2 linked regions of the Caenorhabditis elegans genome follow. The protein of the gene in region 2 interacts with the protein of the main gene of each other region in a biochemical or structural test. Each region holds a gene or a part of one and is shown on either strand. Other genes may lie near its edges.

Region 1 (4,087 bases), on a different chromosome or scaffold from region 2:
CCTTTACTTATCTCATACTATTCAGGAGGCGGTGGCGGATGCGGATGTGGAAGTTCCTGTGGTGGATGTAACATGGGATGCTCCTGCCTACCACCTCCCCCTTCTCCAGTATGTATGCCACCTCCACCTCCACCGTGCCCGATGCCAATCCCGTGTCCACCTCCTCCGCCTGCCTGCTCGTGCCCGCCACCGGTAACCATGTATCAGGTAATTTTACTGTAAAATTTGCCTAATTTCATTGTTGTTATATCTTTTCAGCCCTGTATGGTTCCTCAATACGTTCCTCGATGCAGTGGTGGATGCGGAGGGTGTGGTGGTGGATACGGTGGCGGTTACGGTGGTGGGTGTGGTCGAAGAAGACGTGCGATCAACAATCAGACGATACATTGATATGTACAATGGTTTTTGCTTATATAACATCTTTTCTTTCAGTCATAACACAAATAGTACAAAAATAAAATGTTAAACATTCAAAAGTTACAGAATGAAGTTCCTAGAATCTAGTACGACGTGGATTCTGTAATAATTTTCAAATAAAATGCTTATAACGAGTGTTCTGTAAAATATGAGCCTTGTGGATTCTGAGGTCCTGAAACGACAAATAAAATGTTGAACTGGGGCTTGCGCTTTCAAAGAGGAATGCAGCTGTATATGTAGTTAATGGTGGTCTATTTCAATATTTTGCACAGTGTTTCACAAGTTTAAAAAATGCGTACCTAAAGACGCACCGAGATTTGGATCTCGCCTCAAGACAAAGTTTATGTTTTTTTTTTCCAATTTACCGGGAATCATAATAAATATTTTCTCGTGACGAATTTCAATCCGCATTGAAGTTTCAGAAAACTGCGACATTAGTCATCAATATTTAGTGTACCCTTTAAAATCTCAGCTACAATAAATTCTTCATTTTTCGGAATCGATTGGAAAAGGGTATTTAGAATTTCAGAAATCTTTTTTTTAAAGCTATATTTAAAAAAAAAAAATAAAAATTCCTAACCAATTATTGATATTAATGGAGAAAAACGCACCGAAAACGGTCAAATTTGAAAAACCGCGAAAAACGAATTTTGTCTGCCTGCCTGCGTCTCTTCAATTCCTCCAGTGTCTCGTCTTCCTCAAAACAACCAGACGAGAGCGCTCATTTCGCCATTTTTTGTGTTACAGGCTGCATTTCTTCCTATTCCTTATTTTTGCTTCATTTTTTCGTTTTTTCAAGTCAAATTGATTGACAGAATTTACAATTGTAGAAATGAAAATTGAATTTTTAACGAAACGCCGACACAAATCTGAAAATTTGTTGGAAAATGTTATAATTTCTTCGCTTCTTCTGAACGCATGATTTCCCAACAATTTTAATTGCATTCCTATCCATCTATTAGCAATATAGTTTTTTCTTAACAAGTCGACTCTGGAAAATATCAAAAAATTCCTAACGACCTTCAAAAACGACATTTCCCACTGGTCACTGCGACCCGCATCAGCTGTTTTCCAATTCGAACATTTTATGCCTGCGTCTCCAAGAGCTGCTGATTCATTCTCTGGCAAACACATGATTCCTCGAGTCGTTTTTACACTGAGACGTAGAAGACAGACGACCTAGAATGTTTCGAAATCACACTCTAACTCTCTCAATGATTTTACTCTCCTTTATATATTGCTAGCAGTAACCAGTGCTTAGTGTTTGCATTCTCGATCATACGACCTCACTCTTCTCATATATTTTTCTCATTTTTCAACTCGAGATTTTGTTATTATCACTCACTAAGTAATATTTTTCAGAGAATGAACGATCCGCTTGACTCCCTCTCGAATGACGAATTCGAGATAATCGAGACTTTTGACCGTAAGTTTTTATTTTATTTTAAAAAAAGGACCTAAAAATTCAAGCTCCCAAGCTAACCCAATGAGAAAATATAACTTTTGTCTAGAAATAAATTGTTTGCATCATGATTTCGAAATTTCTTCGCATTTTTTGAAATTATGGGTCAACTTTCTGAAATCGATTTATTTGTTATTTCACAATCGAGGATTTTTAAAAATTCAAAAAAAAATTCCAGCTGAAACAGAAGATCGTGAGGATCAATGGAGTATTCAGCAGAGTATCCGAATCGAGCCAATTTCAATCCAGATGCCGAATACACTTCAATCACAGCGCGCTCCATCTCCTGTCGGATCGAAGGCCCCGGAGTCGTTGAAAGACGAAGATCCAGATCGTACACCTGAAGCATCAATCGTTGAAACACCGCTCCTTACCGAAACTTTGAAGGAAGATCGTACTCCAATGTCAACTCCTCTCGCGTCTCTTGTCAATTCGAGTCAATCTCCTGAATTCACTCTTCAGAATATGTCTATTGTGTCCGAGTCTGAATGTTCCAGTTAGTTTTAAACCAAAACTTATCATAAATTATTTATTTGACCAAGTAAATTCCAGATAATTCCTCTCTTGTGAACGTGGCGGACGTTGAATCAACAGAAATCGCTTTGAGAACATCACTTCTTCTTGTGAGCGAGCTGAAATCTCAACTTCAAGCTGCAAAAATGTCTGAATCCACTCTTCTGAAATCAAATTCAAACCATGAAATTGAAGAAAACAAGAAACTATCTGAGAAAATGGAAGTTATGAAGAACGAGTTCGAATTGAAGATGCAAGAATCAGCTGCTAGCGTAGAGAAAGTTATCCAGGAGAAAGACTCGGCTATCGAGCAGCTCAAAGTGCAATTGGCTCAGAGCCAACAGGTGGCCGAGCTGTGGAAGCAGGGAGCCGAGAAAAACAGCAACGCTCAGTACAGTGACTCGAAGACTACTATTGATAGACTTTTGGAGGAGAACTCGAAATTGAGAAATCTGGTTGATGAAGAGGTTGCTCGCCGGCTCGAAGAATCTGAGCGTCGCAAGCTGGCGGAGGATCAGTTGAAACATGCAAGAGGAGGCTCTGTCTTTGATCCACCAGCCTCTTTTGTTGCATCGCAGTTGGCGGAAAGAACCACATATTCATTGAATCTGGAACATGAGCTTATCACTCTGAGAAAAGAATTGGAGGAAACTAAAGAAGCACTGAAGAAATCTGTAGAAGAGTCGAGCAACAAGGATGAGATAGTTAGTGCTCTGCATGAGGTGCGGTTTTGATAACTTTTTTTTAAATTAGTTAACCATAGAAACCGTTCAAGCGGTCATTGCTATCTTAAATTTTTAATTTAGTGCTAAAACAACGTTGTTTTTCAACGACAAACATAAGATTTCATTTAACAATTTTTTGCAAAAAATACCAGCTTGCAGGACCAACAGGAGAGCACCCGCATGCTCGCTTCGAACGAGCAGGTGATCAACAGTCTGAAGCAGAAATGTCGTCAACTTGGAGTGCTGGAAGACTTCTCGAGCTAAGCCGTCAAATTGTTCATTTTATCTCCCACCAATAATTCTCATTTATCACGCCACATTGTGTACATTCAATACTTTTAAATTCTTGTTTTCATGATTTGTTCTATTTTGTATATTATCTTGCAAAACCCGTGTCAATAAAAATTATGATGTAGAAAAAATTCTAATCATTTCTCAGCAATTACTCGAATTTAGTCGGTAGTTTATTGGTAAATTGAAATGAAAAAAATAATTTAATAATTGCAGGTTTTTGTAAAAGATGTACTCTTTGCTCACACGACGGGTTATAGTATTAGGAAATGGTGAGTGAAAACAATAACGATACAAACGTACATATATTCAAGATCTAACGATTCGAGAAAATTCATAATGAAATTTAACTGAGAGATAATCGATCTATTTTTGCGCCAAAAATACGGTACTCTGTATCGACACGACATTTTTTTGTTAAAAGCAAACGGGGGTGCACCTTTAAAGTGTACTGTAATTTCAAACTTCCGATGCTGTGGAATTTTTTAATTTTAATCGATTTTTCAGAGTTGTTATTGCGACTTGTTATATTGTATGTATTGTTAATTGTTTAGTTTTAGTTTTTTTTTCAAATAAATAAATGCATTTTGAACGAAACAATTCGGAGAAATTTTCGCACCAACAAAAGTTTTATAAATACAGTACTCTTTAAAGGCGCGCACAATTTTTTAGTTTACAA
Region 2 (6,688 bases):
AGTGCCGCCAGGGTCCTATTGATTTCTTACCAAAGTAAGTTCTTTTACAAAAATTAATTTCTCTGTAATTAAAATGTTTTATTTCAGACCAGAAAAGTTGAAAGGAAATGAAATGGTTATCTGGCAGCCGCGAATTCTGGTTTCACCAAAGAACGACTTCAATATGGCTGGTCGAATACAAGAGATTGACGACGAGGAGGAAGATCGAGTTAACGAAGAGATCAAGACTCGTATCATTGAGAATGAAGGCATGATCGATGAAGACACGCGCAACGAAACAACGGGAATCGTTGAACTGGGCACCGGCTCGGATCACAGCGATATTGGATCTTCGTGGAGCTCTCCAATGGCTTCGCCAACTGGTTCTTCTCAAATTGTGGAACTCGATCCTGATTCTCCGAACAGTTTGACAAACGGAAGTGTGACTGATGAAGAAATGATGGAGTTCGAATGATCTCACTGTATATTATTCACGGGTTATTATTCGAAAACAATGTAATGTAATGTATAGAATTTAATTTAACCGTTGATTTGTTCTTGTTTGTTTCTTATTTACGTCTTTCAATATGTTCTACTGGTCAATATTTGAATAAACTAAATAAATTTAAACACCTTCACATTACTACTCTTCGATGGTCGAATCTGCGTTTCCATCACAAGTGTCAATCACTTTATTTCTATGAACCTCTCTCACACTTTGTAGTAAACAGATATTTCGAAATACTGATTGCTAGGTCTTATGAAAAGTAAAACTTTTCCAGTCTGCGTCTATGCGGTACTCAGCAGTTTGCTTAAAGAATTCTCTATTTTTCCATTCTCCATATCAATTCGAACTTTTTCATCTTCCAAAAGTAGGGTTTGTATAGTCAGAAATATGTGATTCACTCTATTAATAAGGGTGTGGCCTTTATATAAAATTATCTCTGTTACTTTTATATGTTTAAAATTTTTCGAACAATTCCGGGGGACTTGTCGAAAAAGTTCCTCAGAAAATTTATAAATGGAACACTAAACGAAAATCGTTGTTTACGAAAAAAAAATCAATGATCGTCTTTCTTGCTCATGCCATTTCTTATCATAAGAAAACTTATCGTCCTAGGACAAGACTGTGATAATTGTAATTTCATACTTTTATATGTTTTACTAAATAATTAGCTTAAAGTTTGAATTATTTGATCTTAAGAACTCTCTTTTTTTCAAAAATACTGTACCCGGTCTCGGCGCGACAATTTTTTTAATTCGAAGAGGTGTGTGCCTTTAAATAATGTCGTTTCAAACTCTTTTTTCTGAGGAATTTTCAGCGATTTTTTAATATACAGTTTTTTTTAACGATTTAATCAAATTTATACATAATTTTTCTATATTGAAAAACTTTGAAAATTGGCTCACACCTTTTCGAATTTAACAAAAATGTATCGTTTGAATTTTTGGCGTAATATTTACATATCATCAGTATTAGAAACCGACGTATATTTCATAAAATATTTTTTAACATTAATTATCTGTATCATTTTCAGAATGGCGGTATCTCCTCATAAAACCTATCCAATCGTCATTACACACGGCGAAAAGTACACGCTTTTCAATGATGAATCAATTGGAAAAGGAGCATACTCAGAAGTCTACAGAGGTCGAACCGAATCTGGAAGACTTGTTGCTGTGAAAACGGCTTGCAAGAAGTTGGAAGTTGCTGCGATAGGCATAGAAATCGAAATTCTAAAAAAGTTGAAAGGCGCTTCGAATATTGTACAATATTTTGGTAGTAACCACACAAAAATGGCACCTGGATCAGTTACATCTGAGACGATTTCCTTTGCGATGGAATATGCAAGTAGCAGTTTGGAAGCGGAAATGAGAAGGCCAAAGAATCACAGAGGACTTTCATCAAATGCACTTATTGACTTAGTTGTAGATTGTTGTAAGTTTGAAATTTATTTATTCTACAGTAATACACGTTTATATTTTTCAGCTATGGCACTATCTGCTCTTCGAGAGCACAATATTGCTCATCGCGACATAAAACACATGAATATCCTTCTATTTCCCGGTACTCCGACACGTGGAAGACGATCCACACATTTATTCAAACTTTGTGATATGGGTTGTAGCAAGTCTCTTTCGGAAAATAGTTCACATGAAATGAGAACTTTAGTCGGAACTCCTAATTTACTGGTAAGCTGTTACTAGGCGTAAAAATTTTAGACCAGGAATTTTTGAAATAATCAAAAACGTCAGCTAAGATGATAAAACACATTCAATTTCAGCACCCCTTCCTGGCACACGAGATGGTCGATCCACTGATGGCTCAAAACAGACATAATTGGAAAACAAAATCAGCTTATACTTCGGAACAATGTGATCTATGGGCTCTGGGATGTACACTATATTTTTGTGCCACTGGAAAGTTCCCATTCGAGCACGAAAGGAATAACAAGAGCCTGTATCATAAAGCTGTAGTGGCTCTTACTCAGAATCCGGATGCAATCGCAATGGTTTTAGTGCAAAAAGGACGAGATCCAGGAAGAAGAACTGATATATTTGAATTCCAACCAGTTACAGAACTTCCTGCTAAATTCACAAGATATCCGAAATGGCTCGTAAGCACAATGACATGCCTTCTACGCAGCTTTTTCCATGAACCTTCAATCGAGTATTATGCAAAAGTGGCTGATGCTATGAGAAATTCTAAACGAAGAACATTTTCATCAGTGGATCAAATGTCGATTGTTGAGCACACGGATATGTCTAATGTTCCACATCTTGGATTCAGTATTCCAAGTATTTCAAAATGTCTTGGATATCCAGAAGGAACCGATATACTTCTTCTCTCAAATACCTCCACCCACTACCTTGATTCCAAACAAAAATCCGTTGACGGACTTCCCGATGATTTGTATTTGGTCGTTCCCCAGACAAGTCACGTTGATATGAGAAAGATTTTGGCGAGAAATATCGAATTCCACGAATTCGATGATATGACAGACAGAAAACTTTCTGAAATTCGAATCAAAAAATGTTATGAAGGATTGAGCATGCTAACTGAAATTGACGAGTATTTGGCTCTTTTTGATCGAGTCTCCACAATTTTGTCAACCCAATTTTCACTGGTGAGTTTTGCATTATGATTTAGACGCGAAATTTTGCAATTTTTGCGGTAAAAAAAATGGTACCAGGTCTCGACACGACAATTTTTTGTTAAATGCAAAACGGTGCGAACCTTCAAAGAATACTGTAATTTTTATAAATTTTCCCCAGTTTTTTCGTTACAAAAAAAAATCATTTATTTAATACGCTTGAATGAAACTATTAAAATCGATCTAAAAAATTTCGTAGCAGAAGATTGAGAGTACAGTACTGTTTAAAGGCACTCACCTTTTCGAATTTAACAAAAATTGCCGCGTGGAGACCAGTTACCGTATTCCTTGCGCTAAAATTTCAAAATTATCCGAGTAACAACTCAGTAGTTCTGAAAATGTTATAACTTTCGATTTTAGATTATAATTTCGTAAATCACATTTGAAATTCCAAACAGTCCCAAAAAAAACCAAAACATGTTTTTTTCAGCTTGTGCAAGAGTTGAGTCAATTCGAGCGTGTTCAAACTGCATCACGTTTTGCTGTTTATGTGGACATGGCTTCAGTACCACTGATGTTGTTCGATGAAGCGAATCCAGAGACCAAAATGATCTCAGATCAATGCATTCAACAAGCGAAACGAGCTAGAGAGGAATTAGAGAGACATGCAAAAGTTTCTATGGATATTGAAGCATGTGCAAAGCAATTGTCAAAAGATGCTGAAGATCTTCGACTTGAAGACATGGATCTACCAGGAATTTGTGAAGAAATCGAATCCTACGTCTTCTATGACAAACAAGCCATCTTGAGCACTCAGAAATATTCCCAAGAATTAGTTGAGTTGTGCCTGAAAAGAAGAAACAATATTATGGAGCAGATCTTCAACTCGCCTGACAGAATAAATAAAAGTAAATTGAATAAGGCAATGAATTTGGCAGCATCGCTCAGCCAACTACGTTCGAATTATCGAAAACTTCAAGATATGATATCCGAATGTGTAGATCTACTCGAGAAGCCATTCCAAGAAATGAAAGATACTGTAAATCGTTATCTACAAGCCCAAGGATGTTCTCGGAATACGATGCAAAAGTCTATGCATTTGTTAAGACCCGAATTCCACGAGAGTCAAATTCGCATAAAGAAGACCACCAAATCGTGTAGGAAACTCATCGACCAACTAAACATAGAATTGGATCAACTCGGATTTGTTCGCTTAGGAGATATATTGATCAAAGCCGAATCGGAGCAGACACTTACAAGATCAGAAGAGATTCAAGAGACGCAGGTTGTAAGTGTGAGTATTTTATTGGGGTTATCAAAATAATCCTTTCGTTGCTCTAATATAATCGGCTTTTGATTAAACGTTTCATAATTTTCAATTAAATTTTATTAGTTTTTTTGCCAGGCGGAATCATCACCGAACAAAGAACAATTCCCTAAACCGGAGCAGGATTCCATTTTGTATGTCTCCTTTTTCTCATCAGACACTGCTTTTCCCAAATTAGTTCTGTATTTTTATGTCATACTAGTCTCCTACTTGCATAGATTAAAGTTTAGATGTAGTATGAGAGAGCAAGAGAGAGAGTGATCCCTGATTTTTTAGAACTAAAAAAATGGAGAGAATCTTCAAAAAGAAACGCAGAGAGAACGGAAACGAAGGAGGCGACAACGACGTTTGTCGGATTTGTTGCGAGAATGAAAGACAAGAGAAACGAGAAAAGAAAAGGAAATCTTCTGGCAGAAGACACTGATTTTCTAGACTTCCTCTTACTTTTTAACACTGCTCTCCATATTACAAGCCTTTCACATGTTTAGGTATACGTTTAAATGAGAAGTGGCCGATCAAAATTGTTTTGCGAATTTCAGAACGAAACATTTCAAAAATGAGTTCAAAACCTTCTTCTGGCGGTTCAAAATTTCGAAATTTCGATTTCGACAAAATGTCGACAAAAATAATTAATTTTTTAACTAAAATTTCCCCAATTTGCCAACTTTTACGCGCCATAACGGCCTGTAGTTTAATTTTATGTAATTATTGTCCCATTATGACATTTTTGTCAGTTATCTATAGTAATTTAGTTAATTTAGGTACAGAAAAAATGGCCAAAAAAAAGAAAATAAATAAAGTGATAATCAAATAAAAATCTGTTTCCGGCCGCTTTGATATGTCGATGTTTGAAAAATTGGAAATGTTAGTTAAAAATTCGGTTTCCTTTTCTGTAAATTTTGAACCGCCATAAAAAATTTTGGACAAATTTTTGAAAACGTCCGTTTCGAAATTCGGTCTTCTGGGTCATTTTGAATATAATAAAACAAAAATTGATCAGTTACTTTTCTGTTAGCTCTTAAGATGTAGCTAGATCGCATTCAATGAGAGTTACCCCTAATTTTTTGAGTTTTGAAGGTATGAAAATGGAATTCAATAGACTTATAATTTTTCAAAGTATTCACCATTTTTGGTGAATGAAAAAAAAATCACGTTAACTTTTAGATATTAAAAATTCAATTTCTCCAGTTCAAAAACATCTTGTATAAATCTATGTTTTTGTAGAGAGTCATCAATTGATGAAGGCTCAACTTCATTCGAATCAACACCACCATCGTCCCCTCCTGACGTTGGGTCTAACAACTATTTCCAAGTAAGCTTTTATTTCTCTTTTCTTTTCTCTTTTCTTTCTTCACTTTAATGCATCTCCTCTCCTTGTGCTCTACCTACATTTTGCAGGCCGTCTTTCAGTACTTTGCCAAGCCGACGTCTTCCCCTTCTTCTTCTGCGAAATAATTTCCTGTAAATACTCGTCCCGGTTTTTTTCCTGTTTTTCAATCAAACCTTCCAACCCTGTGCTATTGACGCCCGGAAATTTGAATTCCTTCAATCATTTTTTTTCTTACTTTTTCTCACCCCTCCACTCACACTCATTTACCCACATTGTTGTATCATCTTTTCAGTCTCTCCAAGTTGATTGCGAACACTTGTTTATATTTCCATCTAGTCTGTGTTATCTCGTTTTATATGTTCTCTATAACAGACGTGTATATAATGAATTACGAGGATTATCGCACCCTTCCTCTCACTGAATTGAAGCCATTTTTGTCTATCTTTTTTCGTTTTTTTAGAGAGGAATTGCCATCTTTTGATTTCTTTTTTTCGAAATAATTTTTGGTGCCAGTACATTGTTTTATTAATTTTTATTTCAGATTTCTATGGATCATTTTATCAAATTGTTGCCAAAATTGACACCGCATTTGAGAAAGGTTAGTTAAAGAAATAAAAAAAGAAGAATTTAATTAGGGATAGTAAAAAAGAGAAAAAAAAGTTGCAGTCCTGTAGTAAACAACAACTTTTTTGTGGCTCAATAAAAAAGTTTATGGATAGAACTTTTTTTTTCCTTTTTCGAAAATTAGGAAAACAACACTGAAAAGTAGAGTAGATAGAAAAGTTCAAATAGTCTGTAATCATCAAAATATGTATATTATCTAACTCAAAAAAATAACACTTAAAATAAAATAAAACTCACCTTCTCAAAACTAAAAAAAATAATTTAAAAACAATAAAAATTACAAAAACTGCTTGAAATTTGGCAAAATCGGTGAAAATAATTGAAAAAGTTATA

What was found.
Region 1: of the proteins of ikke-1 (region 2) and allo-1, one has a biochemical effect on the other in vitro, tested with the Caenorhabditis elegans proteins (one study listed by BioGRID).

Annotation. Positions count from the first base shown.
Region 1 is NC_003282.8:10,694,764-10,698,850, reverse strand, and holds allo-1 (Allophagy receptor allo-1), read left to right. Parts: upstream 1-1,778; 5' UTR 1,779-1,782; coding exon 1,783-1,843; intron 1,844-2,057; coding exon 2,058-2,375; intron 2,376-2,431; coding exon 2,432-3,114; intron 3,115-3,269; coding exon 3,270-3,416; 3' UTR 3,417-3,545; downstream 3,546-4,087. Other genes in the region: R102.11 (uncharacterized protein), read left to right, coding at 26-207, 259-390. UniProt on the Caenorhabditis elegans protein: Autophagy receptor, which is required for allophagy, an autophagic process in which paternal organelles, including mitochondria and membranous organelles, are degraded in early embryos.
Region 2 is NC_003281.10:9,045,523-9,052,210, reverse strand, and holds ikke-1 (Inhibitor of nuclear factor kappa-B kinase epsilon subunit homolog 1), read left to right. Parts: upstream 1-1,517; 5' UTR 1,518-1,518; coding exon 1,519-1,918; intron 1,919-1,969; coding exon 1,970-2,172; intron 2,173-2,264; coding exon 2,265-3,107; intron 3,108-3,564; coding exon 3,565-4,368; intron 4,369-4,467; coding exon 4,468-4,535; intron 4,536-4,677; coding exon of another isoform or gene 4,678-4,825; exon of another isoform or gene 4,826-4,889; intron 4,890-5,625; coding exon 5,626-5,713; intron 5,714-5,799; coding exon 5,800-5,856; 3' UTR 5,857-6,156; downstream 6,157-6,688. Other genes in the region: R107.5 (uncharacterized protein), read left to right, coding at 1-34, 88-454; R107.2 (ATP-dependent (S)-NAD(P)H-hydrate dehydratase), read left to right, coding at 6,279-6,329. UniProt on the Caenorhabditis elegans protein: Serine/threonine-protein kinase, which plays a role in regulating allophagy, an autophagic process in which paternal organelles, including mitochondria and membranous organelles, are degraded in embryos.